Danio rerio: one gene and its partners. The protein of the gene in region 1 interacts with the protein of each later gene in a pairwise test. Links are inferred from orthologs where the notes say so. Each region holds a gene or a part of one and is shown in the gene's direction. Other genes may lie near its edges.

The links.
Region 2: the proteins of ccdc146 (region 1) and necab2 interact in binary tests that used the Homo sapiens proteins (3 or more experiments, as listed by UniProt). The two-hybrid records come from large-scale screens. The link is inferred for Danio rerio from reciprocal best matches to the Homo sapiens genes CCDC146 and NECAB2.
Region 3: the proteins of ccdc146 (region 1) and pde4dip interact in binary tests that used the Homo sapiens proteins (3 or more experiments, as listed by UniProt). The two-hybrid records come from large-scale screens. The link is inferred for Danio rerio from reciprocal best matches to the Homo sapiens genes CCDC146 and PDE4DIP.
Region 4: the proteins of ccdc146 (region 1) and trim54 interact in binary tests that used the Homo sapiens proteins (3 or more experiments, as listed by UniProt). The two-hybrid records come from large-scale screens. The link is inferred for Danio rerio from reciprocal best matches to the Homo sapiens genes CCDC146 and TRIM54.
Region 5: the proteins of ccdc146 (region 1) and ccndbp1 interact in binary tests that used the Homo sapiens proteins (3 or more experiments, as listed by UniProt). The two-hybrid records come from large-scale screens. The link is inferred for Danio rerio from reciprocal best matches to the Homo sapiens genes CCDC146 and CCNDBP1.
Region 6: the proteins of ccdc146 (region 1) and tfip11 interact in binary tests that used the Homo sapiens proteins (3 or more experiments, as listed by UniProt). The two-hybrid records come from large-scale screens. The link is inferred for Danio rerio from reciprocal best matches to the Homo sapiens genes CCDC146 and TFIP11.

What each region holds. Positions count from the first base shown.
Region 1 is NC_133179.1:20,785,975-20,789,474, forward strand, and holds part of ccdc146 (coiled-coil domain-containing protein 146), read left to right. Parts: coding exon of another isoform or gene 1-8; intron 9-766; coding exon 767-991; intron 992-1,078; coding exon 1,079-1,307; intron 1,308-2,768; coding exon 2,769-2,888; intron 2,889-3,500. UniProt on the Homo sapiens protein: Essential for sperm flagellum biogenesis and male fertility.
Region 2 is NC_133193.1:22,958,790-22,962,289, forward strand, and holds part of necab2 (N-terminal EF-hand calcium-binding protein 2), read left to right. Parts: intron 1-580; coding exon 581-705; intron 706-3,500. UniProt on the Homo sapiens protein: May act as a signaling scaffold protein that senses intracellular calcium.
Region 3 is NC_133195.1:37,876,440-37,879,939, forward strand, and holds part of pde4dip (myomegalin), read left to right. Parts: intron 1-726; coding exon 727-921; intron 922-1,350; coding exon 1,351-1,629; intron 1,630-2,147; coding exon 2,148-2,267; intron 2,268-3,500. UniProt on the Homo sapiens protein: Functions as an anchor sequestering components of the cAMP-dependent pathway to Golgi and/or centrosomes.
Region 4 is NC_133195.1:42,032,489-42,035,988, reverse strand, and holds part of trim54 (tripartite motif-containing protein 54), read left to right. Parts: intron 1-1,495; coding exon 1,496-1,668; intron 1,669-3,500. UniProt on the Homo sapiens protein: May bind and stabilize microtubules during myotubes formation.
Region 5 is NC_133181.1:63,059,632-63,063,131, forward strand, and holds part of ccndbp1 (cyclin-D1-binding protein 1 homolog), read left to right. Parts: intron 1-302; exon of another isoform or gene 303-368; coding exon of another isoform or gene 369-456; intron 457-1,208; coding exon 1,209-1,268; intron 1,269-1,351; coding exon 1,352-1,431; intron 1,432-1,523; coding exon 1,524-1,605; intron 1,606-2,555; coding exon 2,556-2,652; intron 2,653-3,043; coding exon 3,044-3,117; intron 3,118-3,500. UniProt on the Homo sapiens protein: May negatively regulate cell cycle progression. May act at least in part via inhibition of the cyclin-D1/CDK4 complex, thereby preventing phosphorylation of RB1 and blocking E2F-dependent transcription.
Region 6 is NC_133198.1:20,764,276-20,768,338, reverse strand, and holds the start of tfip11 (tuftelin-interacting protein 11), read left to right. Parts: upstream 1-1,263; 5' UTR 1,264-1,316; exon of another isoform or gene 1,317-1,409; intron 1,410-4,063. UniProt on the Homo sapiens protein: Involved in pre-mRNA splicing, specifically in spliceosome disassembly during late-stage splicing events. Intron turnover seems to proceed through reactions in two lariat-intron associated complexes termed Intron Large (IL) and Intron Small (IS).

The sequences.
Region 1 (3,500 bases):
AAAGACAAGTTCCTTACCTTTCACATGCATATTCTTATTCTTTTAACAATCTGACTACCTACCACAAAGTAACACTTACCTTTACTGTGAAGTGCTATGAGTGTGCATATTTGCTCGAAGTTTGGCATTATTTGAACTGAGATATGGTGGTAGGGTGGGACATAATGTAGTTCCTGTCTCTTTAAAAAAAACAGCCAATAGTGTTTTGAGTCCCGAGTTAAACTCAAACTCATATATAGCATATATAGAGTCCTAAAGGGACAGGACATGTCAGACACTAGAGAGTATTTGTTTGGTCTGAAGATTTAATGAGAAACTGAAATATTAATTTACATCAAAAACATTTTGGTTTATCCATTTAGGCAAAATTATTTTAATATGTTTATATTTTCTTAATGTAAATCTTGTCACTGTTTTGGAGCACACTACATTACAGATATTCTTAAGACTAACATACTGATACTGACATCTGCTTTCTTTTGATGTCACTGGGACATTAAAGATTGCTCAACAATGAGATTTATTTTCGCTTGTATGGTTGAGTTTCTGTTTGTGTTCAAACTAAATGTTGTGTGATCCAAACTAAATCCAATGTGAGGCCACTGTAAAAAAATATTGACAAAAAGTCATGACTACAAATGTTTAAATTAAATATAAAAAAAATATTTTAAGTCTGTTTGATTAATGTAAGTTGAGATGGTAATTTTAATCAACTAAAAAAATTAAGGTAGCAAGAATTTTCTAAGGGTCCTTTTATTTCCTGCAGGTTACTGCAGAGATCTCGTCTACAACACTCTCACAGCTACAAGCTAAGAGACGATCTGAAGAAGGAGGTCTCACAGACATTACAGGCTTTGCAGGAGATGCAACAAAATCGAGAGGAGCAAAAACTAAAACTCAGGAAGCTCACGGACACCGTGAACATGCTAGAGCAAAAAAAGCTACATATCTGCAAGCGCTATGAGGCCGAACTGCAAAAGCGGAATCAAGAGTGAGACATAGAGTCTGGGGGATACAAATCTGGCAGGTGAATTCTCACAGTCTGTGCTGATATTTCTATCTGTGTTTTTGTTGTCAGGTCTGTGCAGCTTGCAGAAAGAGAGAAGGAATGGCGTATTTTCAATGAGAAGCTTGGTGTACTGGTGAAAATGACTGAAAACAGCAACTTGGAGATGTATGACATGGAAGATGAAATCAGAAACTTGAAAATGGAACAGAAAGAAGAAGAAAGACAGAATGATCTGCACAAAAAGCAGTTGTCAAACAAACTAGCTCTGGAGGAAGAGCGTGTCTTATTACAGATACAGGTACCTGGATCACAATTTTGAAACCACTGTGAAACATTTATCTGTTAAAAAAATTGCATCAGATGCACACAAATATGTGAATCAAGTGCCAACAATACAATCTCTAACAGAGCAAACAAACACAGTGGAATGCAAGTAAAGGTTAGATTTAATGCCTTCTAAAGTGCCACACATACCCACACACAGAGAAGTGTTGTTTTTACCATTTATAGTCCCTTCTGTAAATGAAATAAACCATCTCAGTGAAAATCCGCCTGATAGGTTTATAGACCTCTGTGTTTAAACAACAGAGTCTCTGCATATCAACATTTACTGCATTAGAACAGATCAAATAAACAGTACTAAGACTTTACAATAAAAAATGCCTCGTCCTTAGATACCAGGCAATGACAAACGGTACTGTAGTTGAAGCACATCTTTTCACATCACGTACATTTGTCAAAAATACAACAAAGTTGATACTCTGACATGAGCATCAGTTAGCATATTATAATCATTTCTAAAAAAAAATAACATTGCCATAAACGAAATAAAAGTCATTACTCTATATTTCTATCAAATGAGAGAGTATGAAAAACATTTAAACATCGTACTGATTTCAAACCATTGAACAGTAGTGTAATAATTAAAAAAAGGACTTTGCAAGAAACATTGGATGTAATAAGTAGAATGTTCAAAATAGAATGAGAAGAATTTAGAGGTACAAAATATTTTTGTGAGTAGATGCAAACATGTGATGATGTCTTGGTTTATATTGGGCATCACAGGATGTCCTGTACCAACACTTGTATAAGACCCTGGACAAGCCAAGAAAATCATCCTACTCTTCATGGAATGTCAGGAAAACTGCCAAGCAGAAACAAAGGATTAAGACTCTGCACCCAAACATCGTCTTCACCATCCCACCTTCTATTACTGTATTTCATTAGGTTTCTCTAGAAGGCTTTCATTCATCTGCTTGTGCAGAACTAAAAGATGACCTTTAACTCCTTGGCTTGTCAATGTGTTGTGGGCTCGTGTGTTGCTCTTTCTGGCTTAAGTCTTACATATTTCCTAATATCTTACAAGGATAAACATCTAGCACTGGATTTTAACCTAAGACATTTTTACATCATGATTTATTTAGCACATAATTAAGACAAGCAACATACAGCAATTCTTGATCGATTTAAGTTGGTTTTATGTTGTTTGTGGAGACAATTCAAATCATTGCTCTCTCAAATGAGCACAACAAAACAAGAATCTCTTCTCATGTTGGCACCAGATGATTTCTCTGTTTTGTGACAAGCACAGTGACACATCTGCCGCCAGCTTGACGCTGTCTAACCAGTCATAAATAAGACAGAAAATACATCTGTTTTGCTGTGTACGGACTGTGCATGTGTAATGAAACAAAGGGTTTTAAATGAGTCCACTGTTTTAATTGTGTCCTGATGGTGTGGCTGTTTTTCTGTGTCATAGTTGTCTGAGATAAATGACAGAGTGTCTGAGCTGGAAGAGGCTTGTGTGGACGATAACAGAGCAAGAAACCTGAATGGAGAAGATCCATCTCCTGAGGAGCTCATTGAGAAGATTGAACAGGTAAAATATTTGTTAATAATTTGGGGTTTAATAACTTGATGGAGAGTTTATTTTCCTTTTCCTAACCACAATTACAAATTTCAATGGAATTACCAGAACTTTAGGAATTAATCACTTTTTATTATTAATTTAAAGATTATTATTTATTTTTTTTTGCAGGACTTGGTTTACAAGTTTTAAATTATTTAATCACATCAAATCATTTTTGGTGTTGTAAAATACATACAAATAATGGAATGTTACAATTATTTACTAATTATCATTTTCAATCATATTTTCTGTCCCTAAACTGGTTTGTGTTACAGTATACAAATATATTGTAAGTCACACTTTACAATAAGGTTTCATTATAATTATAAGTTAATGTATTTACTAACATGAACTAATTATGAGCAATACTTGAACAGCATTAATTAATAATAGTTTAACATTTACTAATGTATTATTAACATTTTAATTCAGGCTGTTAACATTAGTTAATGCTCTGTGAGTTAACATGAACTAACAACGAATAACTGTATTTTTATTAACTAACATGTAGAAATACTGTAATAAATGTATTGTTCATTGTTTGATCATATTAGTAAATACAACCTTATGTTAAAGTGTTGC
Region 2 (3,500 bases), on another chromosome or scaffold:
TCAAAACATTATTTTCACCATAACGCAATTTAATCGGGCACTGAAGGCTAATAACTTAATTCTTATATCTGCTTTTTGACTTCTCACCATGTATCTTTTCTACAGCATAGGATAGTGTAAGAGCATGTCTATTACCAGAAAAACTAAATTAAAATTATATTTTAATTGAACACATCACATCACATACAGTAAGCTACGCCTACAGAACAGTCTGTTTAGCATTGTGAAAAGGCAAAGCTGAATATCTGTGGTTAAAGTGCCACCCAGCGGTCAAATGCTGCTGGCGCATCAAGTACCGCCGTCGCCGCGGCATGAATGGCGGCACAAGGAACACATTGAAGTAGTAACATCTGTACATCTTGCACCTTATTGCATCGGGTGTATGATAGGGCTCATTGACTTCCATAGTATTTTTGCTTCTACATGTCAATGGTTGCTTTCCCCCAAAAATTTTTAATAAAATAAAAAAAAATCATAAATGTTTTATAACCACTTGAGTGTGAGTAAATGGTGAGGGAAAATTTGAAATATTCTTTAACCATCTGTATTCCTTGTCCTTGTTTTCCCTGTTATGACCTAGATCTTACCCCAGTAAGACCAGCCCACGCGTCCCAGATCGACGCTATGAGGCACCGGTGCCAGATTATCCTCCCAACAACAGAGTCAGTGCAAAGGAGAGCATGAGGAACATCAACACAGGTGCAGGTGAGGGGATTACATGTCTCCAAACACCTCCTTTTGAAAACAAAACACACTATTAGTTGTTTACAAAAGGCATAATTTAGGTTTATTTTCTTACTTGGATTTTTAGTCTTGTTTCTAGTCTAAAAATTCAAAAATTCTTAAATTAAGAAACATTTTCTAGACAAGCAAAAGTTATTATCTTGTTTTAAGAAATATTATGTCAACATTAAGTGAGTTTTTTCCTAAAACACATAAAATAATCTGCCAGTGGAGCAAGCAAAATAAACTTATGTCAAAAGAAAAAACAAGATCATTTTGCTTGTTTTTAATTCTAGAAAATGCTTCTTGACTGAAAGGCATTTTTGCAGTGCAGTTCCAAAAATAATGCATACGGTGTGAGTTTTTAAGCATCACATAATACACACCAGACTTTAATGGCTTATATAGGAGGTGAAAAACACGGTAATTTCATTCAAAGGCCTGAAAGGAGCAAAAAAAATGCTGATATTTATATGGTAAGCTTAAAAAGAAAGCTGGACTTATGATAGCTTGTAATGTAAATCAATAAGATCCTTTTAACATTATAGAAGACTACTTAGATAAAATGCATCTAAATATCAGTTGTCGCTCAATGTCTACCAAATAATACATCTTAGTAAGATGATACAGTATTTAAATGCTTAGCTTTACCATCAAAGCTCTGTATTATTTATTGTGGAGACACATGTAATGTAATGCAAAATGGGTATAAGTTACCTTTTACAGTATATCTGGAAAACAAAATAAAATATATGTTACCTAAATGAATGGGATGAAAAACAGTATGTGTATGACTTGGGACAGCAAAGCTTTGACAATTGTGAAGCCTTAAATACATGCAGATATGTAACAGTAGGTATTATATGGTTAAAGGTACAATAATGTATTTAACATATTCACAAGTCTAACACTTAATTTTAAGTTTAATATAAAGTTGAAGTTATTAGAAATTATTAGCCTTTTGAGTTTTTAAATTTGTTTTTTAATATTTCCCAAATTATGTTTATCAGATGAAGGAAATTTTCACAGTATGTCTAATAATATTTTTTCTTCTGGTGAAAGTCTTATTTGTTTTATTTTGGCTAGAATAAAAGCAAGTTATTAATTTTTTAAACAACATTTTAAGGACAAAATTATTAGCCCCTTTAAGCTATTTTTTTTTGATAGTCTACAGAACAAACCATCATTATACAATAATTTGTCTAATTACCTTAATCTGCCTTCTTAACCTAATTAACATAGTTTAGGCTTTAAATGTCACTTGAAGCTGTATAGAAGTGTCTTGAAAAATATCTAGTGACATATTATTTACTGTCATCATGGCAAAGATAAAATAAGTGAGTTATTAAAACTATTATGTTTAGAAATATGTTGAAAAAAATCTCTCCGTTAAACAGAGATTGGGGAAAAAATAAACATGGGGGCTAATAATTCAGGGGGGCTAATAATTCTGACTTCAATTGTGTATAAAGCATTATATATTAGGAAAACTAAAGCAACACATCTCTTTACATGATCTTCCATTAATATAAAAACTATTTACTAAAGTAATTGGGCTATTAGAAAAAAAATCTTTAGTGTTTAGTTCTCTGTAAGTCTAAAACATCATATATAATGGTCTTAAAAGGGTTTAAAAGTCTTAAATTTGACTTAATTAACCTACAGAAACCTTGTGTCAGGCAAGATTGCTAATCACTGAACCATCATGCTGCATTTACCTAAGTTATTTTACTATCAATCAAAAGTTATTGAATACACTGAAAATCTCAGAAAAAAATCTTTTAGAGAAAGTCATTGTTCTGCTGTCAGTGTCTGTTGTGAAAAAGCACATGGATTAGTATGTTTTAGTAAAATTGGCACATGGATTAGGCCTGATTTTAGCCACACTTACAATTTTTTCTTGCAGTCTTGTACTCGAGCTTTACTCAAGGACTTGTTTAATGCTGTTTTTGGAGTGTTTGCTTTATTGCTTCTATTCATCATGAGCTGTGTTTTTCCAAACATTACATTAATCAATTCAGCAAGGTTCTTGTTTGTGGTCCAGGCTTGCTAGCCAACTGCATTATCACACAAAACATCTGCATTTATCATTCCTCACACCATCTAATTGCTGAAGGCACAGTTAAAGTTTGTCAAAGATGTGGTTCGCCGGCTCTCCCGTGGGCTTTCTCTATCAACACACTCCACATTTCCATTACTGATGAGATTTGTGCCTGAGCTGCAGTGTGTTGGTTATGAAACCACTCTGAAGAGACAGTAAAACAACGCAAAGCCATTCGTGTGCCAAGTCAGCACAAACCACAAGCTCACGACAGTCTCATATGGATGATGCAACTGAAGAAATGTGTGAGTTTTTAATGAGGAGATGGTGGAAAAAAGGTCTCCCTCAAAGCTTTCCAGTGTTTCAGTCAGTAACTGGGCGCCCAGAGATATGGGAGCAAATTAATTCTAGTGCTTTTCTTTTTCTTCTGTTTCACAGAGAAAGGGAGTATATGATTATATTTGAAATGTCCATCTCACTTTCCACTTCCTCTAAGTTCTAATAGAATAGTCAGCCACTCAGTTTTTTTTTTTTTTTTTTATCAGATCAGCCAGGCAATTCAGGCATTTTTGCAGATTCAAACACTTGGATTTATTTGGAGTTGTAGCTGTCTGATGTCAGGCTTGCTTTACCTGGTATTAAAGGGATTATTCACCCAAAAATGAAAAGTCTGTCTTCATTTAGTCTCCCTTGGCTTGTCCCAAACCAATTCAAGATTTTTGTTCTGTTAAACAAA
Region 3 (3,500 bases), on another chromosome or scaffold:
AAGTTATTCCTGTAAAGGTTAAGCTGTTGTATTACACTATTTTTAAATGTCCCATAATCCTTTAGAAATCATTCTTATACAATGATTTTGGAGCACCATGATTAAAAATAATTCTTATTGTTTTCAATAAATTGTTTTCAGGAGTTTAAAAGAACGGCATTTATTTGAAATAAAAGTTTTTGTTACATTCTTAATACAAATATTTGAAGCAGCACATCTGTTTTCAACCTTTTATATTAATAAGAAATATTTCTAGATATATATGATGTATGATATAATATGTCTGAAGGATCATGTGGCACTTTAATTGTACTAATATATCACAATATTGCTATATGTTTAGCAAATAATAATCTAGATAAGACTACAAAGCAAACAAACAAAAACTCCATTGTTCCAATAAAGTCAAGTCAAGCTGAGCTTTATTGAACATACAGTGAAATGAAATGACAGAACCACTGTGCTATATAAAAAAACAAAATCATAAATACTGAATGTAAAACTATTTAATACCCATACAAAACCTATACATAGTTTACATACCGGAGCAGTAATCTAACTATACCAATTACTACCTATGCTTTTACTATAAATACTTAACTATACACATAACCTAAGACAGACTATACAAGTACTTTTACATAATACAGCACAATATTGTGCAAGATTTCTCTGGGATCATTAAATTCCGTTGGCCTCATTTTTATCTCGTTGACTTCTCTGCAGGAAATGACTGCAGTTTTGCTCAGTAAGGTGTCAGTCGGGGCCGGTGAGGTGGCAGAGGAGCTCAAGTCTCGGCTGCAGCTGAAGGAGCGCTTATTCCAGGAGCTTCTTTCAGACCGCAGCAGACAGACTCAAGAGCATCACTCACAGGTCCAGGACCTGCTCAACACCATCAGCTCAAGAGAGCATTACATCAAGGTGACATGCTATCACTCATCTAAAAATAAATATATTTTATACATTTGAAGTCAAAATTATTGGCCCCCCCTATATACTTTCCCCCGATTTTTGTTAAACGGAAATAATTTTTTCAGCACATTTCTAAATGTACTGTGATAGTTTTAATAACTCTCTTTTATCTTTGCCATGATGACAATAAATATTTTATAATTTTTTTTTTAAAATACTAGTACTCAGCTTAAAGTGACATTTAAATGCTTAACTTATAGTATATATCGTGACAAATTCCTTGCTCTTTTAAACATCATTTGGGAAATATTTGACAATAATTTTGACTTCAACCTTATATTTAATAAAATTTATCTTTAATATATATATAAGTTAATCCAATGTGCCTTCTGGACTTTAAATTTCTTTTTTTTTTTTACATCACAATCAATCTCGCAGGATTCGGCAGGGCGTGTAGGTCAGGTTATGGCCGAACAGACAGCTCGATTGCAGGAGCTACGAAAGCAACTCGGGTCAGCAAACCCTGAGTTGACCCAAGAAGACACACAAGCACTTATGGATGAGCTCCAGATGACTCTGCGCAGAGAAAGAGAAGCCCAGACCCAGCTCAGCATCCTGCGTGCCACCTTAGCATCCTACCAAGACCAGCTCCAAACCCAAACCTCAGATCTAGATGCCTTGAGCAGGACAGCGAGCGTCAAAGAGGAAATCATCAAGGTTTGTGTGCTAGTCTTTTACAATGGGGTATATGCACAGCTAGTGTTTTTCACCCACCGATAAACTTCCTGTGAAAGTTTAATGTGACTATTTTCAATTACATACGGTTCCTTTTACAGCATCAATGTTGTAATGTAATTAAAATCCATTCATTTAAATAGACTTAAGCATTCATTTAGTTGTTAAAGAGTACAAAATTTTAAACAGAAGCGCCGTCAGAAGCACCAGACAAGTGCAGGAACCATTGAAAATAACTGTGGTAAAATAAATTTCCATATTTTAAAGACATGGCATGAAACAATGTAGTTTAAAGCAGTGCTTCTTGTACAGTTTGAGACCCTCTTTATATTGTATATCAATCAGGCAGTGAAGGTCACTGATTTTTAAAGAAAACAGACCTTAAACACAGAAATAAACCGGAATTGCTTGTACTGGGTTACTGAAAATTTAAAAGTCCTTGTGCATATAGCCTATAGTCTTTCTTTTTTTGAGATATATTGAACACATTTGTTTATCAGGACCTTCAGATGCAGTTGGTGGAGCCATCTGATTTACCACTGGTAGAGCGACTGACTCAAGAGCTGCAGCTGCTGAGAGAGAAGGTGGAAAGTCAGGAAGCGTCCTGCAATAATCACAAGGTATTTAAAGGGTCACGAAACACCAAAACACATTTTTTGAGCTTTTGACAGTCGTATATGTGTCCCACACTGCTAAAAACACTATTAGGACACCTATATTTCACTAAAAAGTGTAAATTGGTTGTTTTTGCGTTATTTCAAGCAAATGCGTACTTCCTGTTTGAAACGAATTTTTGAAGCTGCGTCACGGTCATGACATAATAGCGTGTATTCCAGCGTGCAGACTGGGCGTCTGTGCCTGAGTGAGTCTTATTACGTCTTACAGTGTGATACATTAATGCATGAGTAAGGCTTGGTTCAAACCAATCAGCGCGCTCTATTGTGCAACTTCATTAATATTCATTTGTGTCACCGTGTTTACACCACAAAGACGCCACGTTGTGTTGGCAAAACAAGCGTGAAGTGTTACTTTTATAGTTTGCTGCCGTTAAGTTTCGTTTTCATTTTCTCTCTGTGAGAGCTTATCTGGATCACGTGTGGATTAACAGTGTACGCAACGCTCGACAACAATAATTTACGTGTCTAAGGAGGATTATTGTTTACCTGAGAGCTGTTCTCATCTGCAAACGCTGAAATCTGGATTTGCTTGTAGTATTCTCTCCATAAAGACGCGGCTCTAGTTGCTGGTGATTGTCCTGTCTCTACAGATTTGGTAAGTGAGCGACCAGTGCTCTTTGTTTATTCAGTTTGCTCGTATCGAATTAAGTTAACTATAGCACTGAGTGCAGAAATGTTAGCACCGCATTTAGTGACCGGAATAACACACGCGGCTTTCTGACGCTACCTGCCGTGTGCATCTAAGTTTCCGGGAAATGCGGAGTTTTTTTTTCTCTCATTTGCCGTGCGGTATCAAACATTGCATGAAAAATACACGCTTAGAGCAGTTCCTCGAATCAAATACCTCGTTTGTCGCGAGGGGCATGAATGAATTCCCTGAATGAAAGAGCCAAACTGCAGTTAAAGTCCAACATTTATTAATTCAGCAAATAATTCGACTACAGATGTCCATGTAGGTTAAACACCATCGCTTTCTCCTGTCTCTCTGTGTGTGTGTGTGTGTGTGTGTGTGTGTGTGTGTGTGTGTGTGTGTGTGTGTGTATTTTGACTCTGAAACTCGCGCGTGCACAAATAGACACTCCCACACCCTCCCACTTTAGTTCCTCCGACACTCCCCCCTAAACAGAGCTGGACACGCCCACTTTTCTGACTTTTTCGAAAGTAGAGGTGTGAAAA
Region 4 (3,500 bases), on another chromosome or scaffold:
TATATTGTCAGAAAAGTAACTATTCATACTCATTCACTGATATGTAAATGTAGATTTTTTTTTTTTTTTAAAGGAGATGTGCCTTCAAACTCCACTCCTGTCCCTACCCCTCATTGGTGGATGAGCAAATCAAACTGAAATGTATGAATGAGATTGAAATGAATATTTTATTAATTTCTCAGTGGATATAGGCAATGTATTTCGGTGCATGAAAAACAGATATAATTATTAAAATAATATTTTAGTCACCACACATATTTAGAAATCGAAAGATAATACAATAAAAAATCAAGCAAAATATACAAAAATAAATAAATAAATAAAAATACAACCTACAAAGTTTCAACAATTTTTTTTACTTATTTATTTAATCATTTTGCTTCTCTTGTTTTTTTCCTTTTTAAAAATTTTGTATTTAATATTTTTCTATAATAAAAATTTGGGTGTACTAGTTTTTGGATCGTTATCATATATGTTATTTTGTCAGACAAGCTCCAGATTTGGCTTCAGTACTGACTAATCTAATGTATATGCACAAATATAATATTATATAGCTTCCTATTAAAAACATGAATTTAAAAGATTTCTGTATGGTCAAAGTAACTTTAAAAAATTACTGTAATTTGTTTCAGCTAAATGTATTTATTGAGGGCACATAAGCAGTACCTGAAGATATCTTTGTCAGAGTAACTAATAGACTAACGTTACTGTTGTTAAAGCCTCGACCTGGCAGTATTACAAACATGTTTTAAAAAAGATATGTTGCCATCGCGAATGCTTTCTCATTCATTCATTCATTCATTTACATCTCGGCTTAGTCCCTTTATTATTAATTTGGGGTCACCACAGCGGAATGAACCACCAACTTACCCAGCATATGTTTTACACAGCGGATGCCCTTCCAGCAGCAACCCATCACTGGGAAACACCCATACACTCCCATTCACACACATAGTACACTACAAACAATTTAGCCTACCCAATTCACCTATAGAGCATGTCTTTGGACTTGAGGGGGACATACAAACTCCACACAGAAATGCCAACTGATCCAGCCGGGGCTTGAACCAGCGACCTTCTTGCTGTGAGGTGATCGTGCAACCCACTGTGCCACCATAACGCCCTGATGCTTTCTTATATAATATGGGAATGCTTCTCTTGTCTAAATAAAATTTACTTTGGCCACAGACTTTCTTCACATTTGAATCAAGTAATGGCAGATGGCAAAACATGACCTGGCGAGTTAAGTAAACATGAATTAGATTGTTATATAGAGTGTATTTAGAGTTACTATAATAAATAAGGTAACTTTTTTGCTTTAAAATCAGAATCCATAATTTTTCACTTAATCAAATATAAAAACGTACTTCAAATGAAAGACAAGGTAGATTCAGCACTTTTTTCAGTGCATTAAATGTTTAATGTCTGTGAAATGCTATTCCATCAAGTTGTTTGCTTTTAATGGCACCCCTTTTTTTGTCTTTCATTGCTCCAGGCCTCCAACCCTCTTTGGCAAAACCGGGCCTCAACCACTGTGTCCACAGGGGGGCGTTTCCGCTGCCCATCATGTCGCCATGAGGTGGTTTTGGATCGGCATGGTGTCTACGGCCTTCAGAGAAATCTGCTAGTGGAGAATATCATAGATATCTACAAATCAGAATCCACCAGGTCAGTCTTGTGTTGGGCTAGCCTGTGAACCAGTTCCAAGTTCCACCAAGGATAAACATTTCTCTTCTCGAAGCACTTACATTAATTAAGTCTATTTGCTGTTCATACTTCAAAGCCGTGTTCTGTATAGAGATCCAGCAACGCCCCAAGCTGTTGTGACACAACACTCTTGTGACACAACACTACAGTACCTGACACTTCTTCTGTTTCATCAATGAAGCTGAAACCCGGTGTAGTGACACATATATGTGATTTACTCTTATGTGGGAGATTTTCTGCCACGTCAAGTAAACACAAACAAAGACATGGGACCTGAGGCTCTGGTGACTGTAGCAATCGTTTGCCAAACCAGACTAAATATAACTAGGACGCTTTATCCCTGTGGCAATAAACAATGTGTCATGAGACCTCCTGTGAAAAATATGCGTAATTGGGTATAATAAGACTGATAGACTTTGAAGCCTTTTGTAACAAACGCTTTGTTTATTATGAATACATAATGTACATGGTCTTAGTGTCTTTGGTAAAAAGCCGGTACCTAAAAGAGGTTGTTTCAAAGGCACATTCTGATTGATGATGGGACATTTTCTCCATGCTTTTAAACCATTTTCCGCCATTTAATATGCTTCGTATGTATATAAAAGCACTTCTGAAATTTTAATTTGATGTGGACACTTAATAATTTTATTTAAATGATTATAACTAACTTATTTTATATCAAATATTAAGCAATTTTAGAATTAAAGTGTTTAGTTTAAAGAATTTTAAATGTAAAACGACAAAATTGCTCTTACTGTAAAACCTTTTATTAGACTGACCCACTTTTACTTTTAACTTACTATAAAAGGAAATTCAGCAAAGTTTTATCAGGAAAAGTGTTACAATTGTTATCATGTATTCAGTTTTAAAATCGTATCTAATTTATCTTGTGTTTATTTGTTTCTGGTCTTGTATTTACTTTTAATGAAATGTTTTCTCATGACTTTAGCCTTTGTTGGTGACATAACATTTCATTATTATTATTATTATTAATCCCATGCTCATCATCTGATGGTCAACTATTACTGTTGTCAATGAGACAGTAGCCTGGTTCCCTAAATTTAGTATGTTTGGTTATTAGTTGTACTAGTATCATGTGTTGTTGGATGAAATCCTAATGTCTGTGTGTTTCTATGTTCTGCTAAAAGCCAACATTCTTGTTAAGTTAGGCCCAGTAACCTTTCAATATTTTCCTGTTTAAAAATAGAAATAAAGAAATAACACAATATAGATAATATAGACATTTTTTATGGAACATTTACTTCCAGTTGTAGTTTGCCTTGTGTAATGCTGTATTGTCACTCAGAATTCCTGACACTGTGGAAGTAAATGCATTTTTTTTTACTATTTCCATTATTTCAAGAACTTATTCTAGAGCTGTCAAGAACTTGTCTATTACATAATCATAAAATTTATCCTTTAGCTTGATCATTTATGATTTGATAGCAATAGTTACACTATAAAACATTCTTGCTGCTTTATTTTATTTTAATTTAAACAAACTATTTTAGTCATCTCAATTTGCATAAGTCAAACTGACTAAAAATATAGTATTAAGGATTTAAGATTTATTTCGCTACGTAGGGAGCGGGGGTTTTATTTGTTGCATCGTTCCCTCATAGCAAACTAAGGCAAAGTATAGAACACAAAAAAGGTACTTGACTAAGTAAGAGATGCTATTAACAAAATGATAAACACAGTTGCTATAAAAGCCCTCAGATTCACGTCAACAAAAGGACCGTCACTCCAAAAACTGAAACACATGATCAGACTTTCATTAAAGATTACCAAAA
Region 5 (3,500 bases), on another chromosome or scaffold:
TTTCAGTCCAGTGTTCAGAGTTGAAGTTCTGCTTAGTTCAGTTCAGTGTGGTTAAATCTACACTGCTGAGAGTCCAAACAAACACTGAAGAGCAAATCCATCCACAGCTCCACAGGTCCCGAACCAGACAAGCCAGTGGCGACAGCGGAGGAACAAACTTCACCAATTGACCAAACTACACCAGTAATACAGAAGTAAACAATTATATTGGTTTAACACTTCAAAATGTATATAATTACAAACAAACATTCAAAAAGTATCAACCAAGCTGACTGTGCAGCGACGGATTCATTCCGGTCACACTCAGACAATATTAGTTCCGCTTGACTTTCGTTCCGCGGCTCCACGAAACTGAAGCAAAGCGCGTCATGAGCGGCGAAAACTCGCGTTCAGAAGCGCTGCTTCCGCTGAGAAACCTCTGGAACTCGGTGAAGTGCAGCAGGGATCGAGTGAGAGGTATGGTGGTCCTGTATTCCGTGTTTCATTGTGTATTTGAGCAGTGTTTGTGGGAATGCTAACGGCTAAACTTCCAAAACACTCACGAAAACACTTTAACCGGTGATAGTTAGCTGCTCAGAGCGCTAGTCATGATGTTTACTCTAGTTGAACAGATATAGTTAGCTGGTCAGAGTGTTACGCTAGTTTAACAGATATAGTTAGCTGGTCAGAGTGCTAGTCATGATGTTTACTCTAGTTGAACAGATATAGTTAGCTGGTCAGAGTGTTACGCTAGTTTAACAGATATAGTTAGCTGGTCAGAGTGCTAGTCATGATGTTTACTCTAGTTTAACAGATATAGTTAGCTGGTCAGAGTGTTACGCTAGTTTAACAGATATAGTTAGCTGGTCAGAGTGTTAGTCATGGTGTTTACTCTAGTTTAACAGATATAGTTAGCTGGTCAGAGTGTTACTCTAGTTTAACAGATATAGTTAGCTGCTCAGAGCGCTAGTCATGATGTTAACTTTAGTTTAACAGATATAGTTAGCTGGTGAGAACACTAGTCATGGTGTTTACTCTAGTTTAACAGATATAGTTAGCTGGTCAGAGTGTTAGTCATGGTGTTTACTCTAGTTTAACAGATATAGTTAGCTGGTCAGAGTGCTAGTCATGATGTTTACTCTAGTTTAACAGATATAGTTAATAGTAATTTGAATGAGATGTTGTCAGTGATGTGCTGAAGCCCACAGTGTTTCTGATTGTGTTTGCAGATGGAGAGTCCAACGACAGCAGCGGCACCTTCAGCTTGGCCAACTTCTGGGAGATTCTGAGTTCGTTCAGTGTTTGATTCTGAATCTGAATCATGTTCTTCTGAATCGCTGAATGACTCACTCCAGCTCTTCTCTTTCCGCAGATGAAGCTGTAAAAGCAGTGTCTCAAGAAGCGACTAAACTCAGCCTGATGTTCTCCAAGCCGCCACTGCCGTCAGACGAGGTGTGATTAACCCCCTTCTGAACATCACTATAACTATCCTGTCATTTGTCCATCAGTAATGCTGCTGCTGCTGTTGTGTTTCTTCGCTTTAGGATTGTGCAAAAATGGGGGATTGTGTGCAGAAGAGTGTGTTGACCTTGTGCACCGTTTACTTCTGGCTGCCAAAGAGTCAAGGTAACAGATATACACATACACACACACACACACACACACACACACACACACACACACACACACACACATGCTCAAGCTGTAAAAATGTATGAAATAAAAACACTATCGTAAATATTTAGTGCGTAATTAAGTAATTCTAAAAACGTAAAAGAAAACTGAGCGTAATCATAATTTTACAAGGATACTGAAGTCCAAAATCAAAAGCAGTGCAGTGTTCTGTGGTGTCTGTGTTCAGTATGAAGCTCTTCTGGAGCTGCTCAGCTGCATTTGCTCATTTGTGGATTACACAAACCGTCTCATGACCTCTGACCTGATTATTGAGAAACTCATTAGACTGTGTATGTGTGTGTGTGTGTGTGTCTGTGTGTGTGCGTGTTTGTGTGTGTGTGCGTGTGCATGTGTGTTTCTGTTTCTGTGTGTCTGACGTGTGATTTTGTGCAAATGTGTGTGTTTTTTTGTTTGTGTTTTCTGTGTTTGTGTGTGTGTGTGTCTTTTTGCATGTGTGTAATGTATGTTTGTGTCTTTTTTTCTGCATATTTGTGCATGTTTCTGTGTATGCGTGCCTGTACATGATGTATGTGTGTTTTTGTGCATATTTGTGTATACACGTGTCTGTACATGATTGTGTGTTTGTGCATGCATGTTTGTGTTTTTGTGTTTGTGCATGTGTGTGTGTATATATACACGTTTTTGTGTTTGTTTGGTTGTGTGTATTTCCGTGTGTATCTGTGCCATTTTGCATGTGTGTGTATTTGTTTATGTGTGTTTGTGTGTTTTTTTTGGTGCATGTTTGTAAATGTTTCTTTGTGTGTGCGTGCTTCTGTTTATGATTGTGTGTGTGTGTATGTTTGTGGATATTTGTGTATGCACGTGTCTGTACATGATTGTGTGTGTGTGTGTGTGTGTGTATATATGTTTTCGTGTGTGTGTTTGCGCGCACGTGTGTCCAGGAGTCACACTGAGGAGGTCTGTCAGGGACGCCACCGCTGAGGTTCTGGAGGGTCTGGTTCAGCTGCTGGATGTCATTCTGTCCTCACCTGGACAAAGGTAGAACTCGTCCTCTGAGGCCCTCGCTAGCTGTGTTTCCATCCACCTGTTTTTATGCACATTTTGGATTATTTCAGAAAAAAACACTTAATGGAAATCCAAGATGTGCATACATTTTGAAAATGTGCATAAAGTGAGTAGGGTAAACCTTGTGTCCAGTGAGAGAAACTGCAGATAAGCTGTGCTGTGATCAGCTGTAGTGAGTGTGCATGTGCGCCAGCGCTTCATCAGTGTCTGCTCTTCAGTGCTGTATCAGGATGATCAGATGATGATGGGATATAGTGATGATATGATGATCAGTCTGTGTTTATATACTGTTTAAACAACCTGTGTGTGTTTATAATCTGTCTGTGTTCATTTACTGTGTTTACATTCTCCTGTGTTCCCCCAGTGTCTCGCAGGAGCAGCTCACCTCCACCGGGAGTGTTTGGGCCGCATGTGACCATTTTGACCAGATACCCAAAGGTATCTAGAAACAACTTGTGCTGGAGTCCTTCAGTTCCGTCCATCATTATTTCTATAGCGCTTCTTACAGTGCAGATGAAGACTAGAGAATAAAAATGCATACAATATTTCAGATTGTCCGGCAGAGATGACTAGTGTTGCTAGTAAATTAAAGCTGCTTCTAAATCTGTAAGGTTGTGCATCCACATTCAAATGAGGGGTGTTTTAGTGCATGTAAAGCAGTCTCTGTGTGGCTCATTGAGACATCAGTGTTGTTTTGTAATAAAGCTCCTGCAACAGCAGTCTTGGGTTTGATGCCAGAGGAATGCTGGAACTGCTGAGCTGTGGGAATGCAGTCAGTTCTGCCAAACGATCATTTTTGTAAAATAATTAGCTCATCTCTG
Region 6 (4,063 bases), on another chromosome or scaffold:
AACTTGTTATGCGAAATCTCTACAACAGCTGCGAGAAGACCCTAAAAGAAACCTGAAGAAAGGCTAAAACAGGTGCAAAAACACCCTGAATAGAATAAGCAACATTTTGATAATAACCAGTACAATAAACAATATTTCCAGGACCACCTAGACAACCAGTGTTTAGTATCAGACATGCACTTTTAAAAGCAGTACTAACCCGTCTCAGCCTGGGGCTGCTGCATCTCCTGCTCTGTAACAGGGACAGTTTCTGTGGCTTCGCCTGGCATTCTGGACTAAAACAGAAATGAGAAACAATACATTATAAGCTTTACAAAGTCTGCATGAAGGTTTAGACATGCGTTAGTCAGTGCTTTGTGTTAATGAGGCTTTTTCTATTGAAACAGCAGCACTCTAGGCCTCTTCCTGTAGGCCTCTGCTGGCTGTCAGCTGTCCCACTACCGGCTCAGTTAAACACTGCTGTTGTCTCAAAGTATTGAGCTACATGATAACATTTCACAAGGCCACCGAACAGAATTTGTGAGCTTTATCAATTGCAAACAGGCAAACTGAACAAATAAGGCTTATAACGTCCCCAAACAGTTCCACACACTGTTCATGTGTGCGCGTGCACTGTGTTGCACATTTCACGTGTGTATCTTAACAGAGGAGCTCTGACACGTTACTGCTGAATGAAAGAACCTCATTACACAAATTACAATAAAACTTTTTTAAAGAAATGAGTTTATAATCCTTTATAATGTAACGTTAGGTTATACTGTTGACACAGCATGCGTTTTTAGAAACGTTACATGTTTAGGCAGCGAAGTTAACTATCCAGCCAGTGTTTATTGTCGCACGTCACGCAACAACCTTTCGTACGATTAAATTACAGATTTCTCACAATATATCGCTATAGTTGTATATAGTGCAACTTTTTGCAGGGTTAACATTTTCGTTAGACACAAAGCCCACGGCTGAAGTATAGCGAGCGGTGGTGCGTCTCGCTCCCCCATTTTGAACAGTCAGCCAGTTGTAATCATCAACATATTTCCTCAATAAGCCAAGCAAATTTACAAATCTTTACCATTCCAAACACAGCTACACTAAAGCATCAGCATAAGCTACAAATTATGTATTGAATTGGCTAAAGCAACGTTGGATGACAATAGATTTTACGCAGGAGTACTCACTAGTTCAGGGCACAGGATCCAAGATGGCTGTGAGAGAGGGTTTCTGACCTCTGCGTCACTCTGATGTCACTGCTCTGCTTCCGGTCCCAACAGGAAGTCACTGTCGGATAAGCTGAAGTCTATAACAAGAAACCACATTTTCAGGTAATTCTGTCTACACACTGTTATTTTTAAACACAATAGTTTATTTCAGAGTTGACCATGACGGAATATTGACAATACCTGATTTAAGGGAAGGTATGTGTCTTTGTTTACAACAGAGTGGCATTGCTAAGCTAACATGATTTTTCTGGGAAACGTTTGCTTCACGCACTCTAAGTTACTAATCAGTTTTTGTCATCCGAGAACAGGGTCCGTGTATCATCCGTTCATTTGATTATTCCTTTTATTACGGAAAACGAAACATCAGAAAAACGATGAATATTTCGTTTTTCTGTTTATTCTGTAGGCAGAAAAAACGGAAACTCATCTGTTATTCTGCTTATTAACTTAAAACGAAATATTAAAACAAACACAAAACCAAAACGAAATAATGAGTCAAAAAATGGTCCGTGTACATTTTGTTCATTTTTTTTCCAGTTTCAAACGGAATAAAGGAAATGGAGAAAACTGCCGTTTTTCCGTTTTTCTTTTGCTCACGAGAAAACGAAAAAACAAGATTTTGGCTGGATTTTCGTTTTTTGGTTTAGGGTAGGAAAACGGATAAACGACTTTAAAATTCATTTTACACATGTAGGCGGTGCTGAAACGCCCACTTTCCTCTAATTGGTCAACCAAATCTGCGCTCGTGACGTCACCCTCAAAATAAAAGCCTTACACGCAGGCTTTTAATTATTATTATTTAATTATATATATATTAACTAAGTTTACAGATTCTATCATTTGAACCACACACATTTAGCAGGCTTACATTCATTGCGTATGTATAAATTAAATAAAAACGTAAATCAGCAGTATTCTTAGACATTTGTCATTAAAATAAGGTCATAGTTCACTGCCAAGCTTCTTGCTGCTGTGCACCTGATGCAGAGCAAAGATAGCCATTTCCGAGCAGCACCTGGTTTACATGATTGTTTCAGAGCTATTGTAGGCCTAAATAATAGCCTACTCTGTATAAAATAATAATTTATTATTATTATTATTATTATTATTATTATTATTATTATTATTATTAGGCCTATTATTAGCAGTATTGTTATTATTATTATTTACTTAGTTATTTAATGGTTGTAAGAACACAATGGACCCTGCATGGGGCTATAATAAATGGTACCTGTTTCTATTGGATTTTCTCCTATTTTAATTTAATATGTGCCTTTAGCCTATTGTAAATATTTATTTGATAATTAATACTTTTTTATTGCAACGTCAAAGTAGGCCTGTCTTATTATTATTATTTTTTGTTATTATTTTGTCGTTGTTGTTGTTATTATTATTGTAGCAGGGACATAGCCACAGGTGTGGCAGAGTGTGCTGGTGCCACCCAAAGTGGCATCTTGCACCTGAAAATAGATGCCTTCGCACTCAAGCACGCGCAAAAAAACTTGCACAGGCAAAAGTAATGATGAATGTGTTGAAGGAAAAAAAAAACATTCTAATTATTTGTTAATTAAATAGTGCAACATTATTCTCAGTCAGTGTAGGCTGAAAAAATTAAGATCGCCAGCATTTCAAGGGTGGTTTTATTTTTAGTTCATTGCTGTGACGCGCTATATTTCACTAAGGCTACATGAGACTGCGCATCTTGCTTATTTTCTCTATTTTACATACAGAACATATCATACAGTCCAGGTTCTACCGTTCTAGTGAGTGTGGGGCATTGCTTTACGGTGGTAAAGTGGATTATTTCTTGGCAAATTCATAATGATTCACTTTGTTTAGTAATAAATTTCATAGTTATAAAATAACTACATTTCAAGAATATGTTAACACTTTCAACTATTTAGGATTATTTATTGCATCAAAAGTAATTTCAAAGTAACATTAAATGTACGTATAAACTGCTTAATTTGTGTGTGTAAACACCTAAGATGCAAAAAGCTTATTTAGACCAGAATAGGCCTACTAAATGCAACGGTCAATGTATGTAAACTTATGACCTAAAATGTCTTAAATGACTAAATGTAAGTCTTTTTAAGTTTTTAAATAATTTAAGTTTAACATAAATGATTTAAACTTTAAACTTCAAATTAACAGAGTATGGCAAATAAATTGTTTATTAAATGGAGGTCAGGTGTCTATCTTAATTATAATTATTAAATATTATGACACTACAGTGGTGTATTGGAGAGTACGCACCTTTTAATTAATTAATTTTAAATAAGTGGTTTATCCTAAATAAAATGCAATGGGATCGGTGTGCAATGAATAGTTTGAAAACCCCTGGTTCAGACTAGACGAGCTAGCTGTCTGTGCGCTGCGCTAATAACTTGGCATTTGCTCTTTTCGGTGCTGCCAGATGCATTTATAGTGCATAAAAATAAAAAAGGTAATTCGGTAAAGCGCGCGATGCGCGCAGAAATAAGCGCACTATATGCATATGTCGAATTAAGTTCTCTTTTTCTTTAATCAAGACTTTTCCATTCGAGGAATTACAGTTATTAATAGCTTAATCCTTATAAACGATCAGTTTATAAAATACACAATTTACGGATCAAGCCTAATGAAGAATAAGAAGAATATGCAACGCATTATGATCCTTGAATGATCAGAGCGCATTTATATAAACTATATATTTTATATATTCCATAAATATTAAAAAACATTATACATTTAAAGTAATAAAACATTATATGTTATAAAATCTAAACTATTATTTAGGCTACAGGCTGTTCAGCGCGTGCGTCAAAGAAAAGACATGACACAATCTCTATAAAAACTAGTTGTTTATT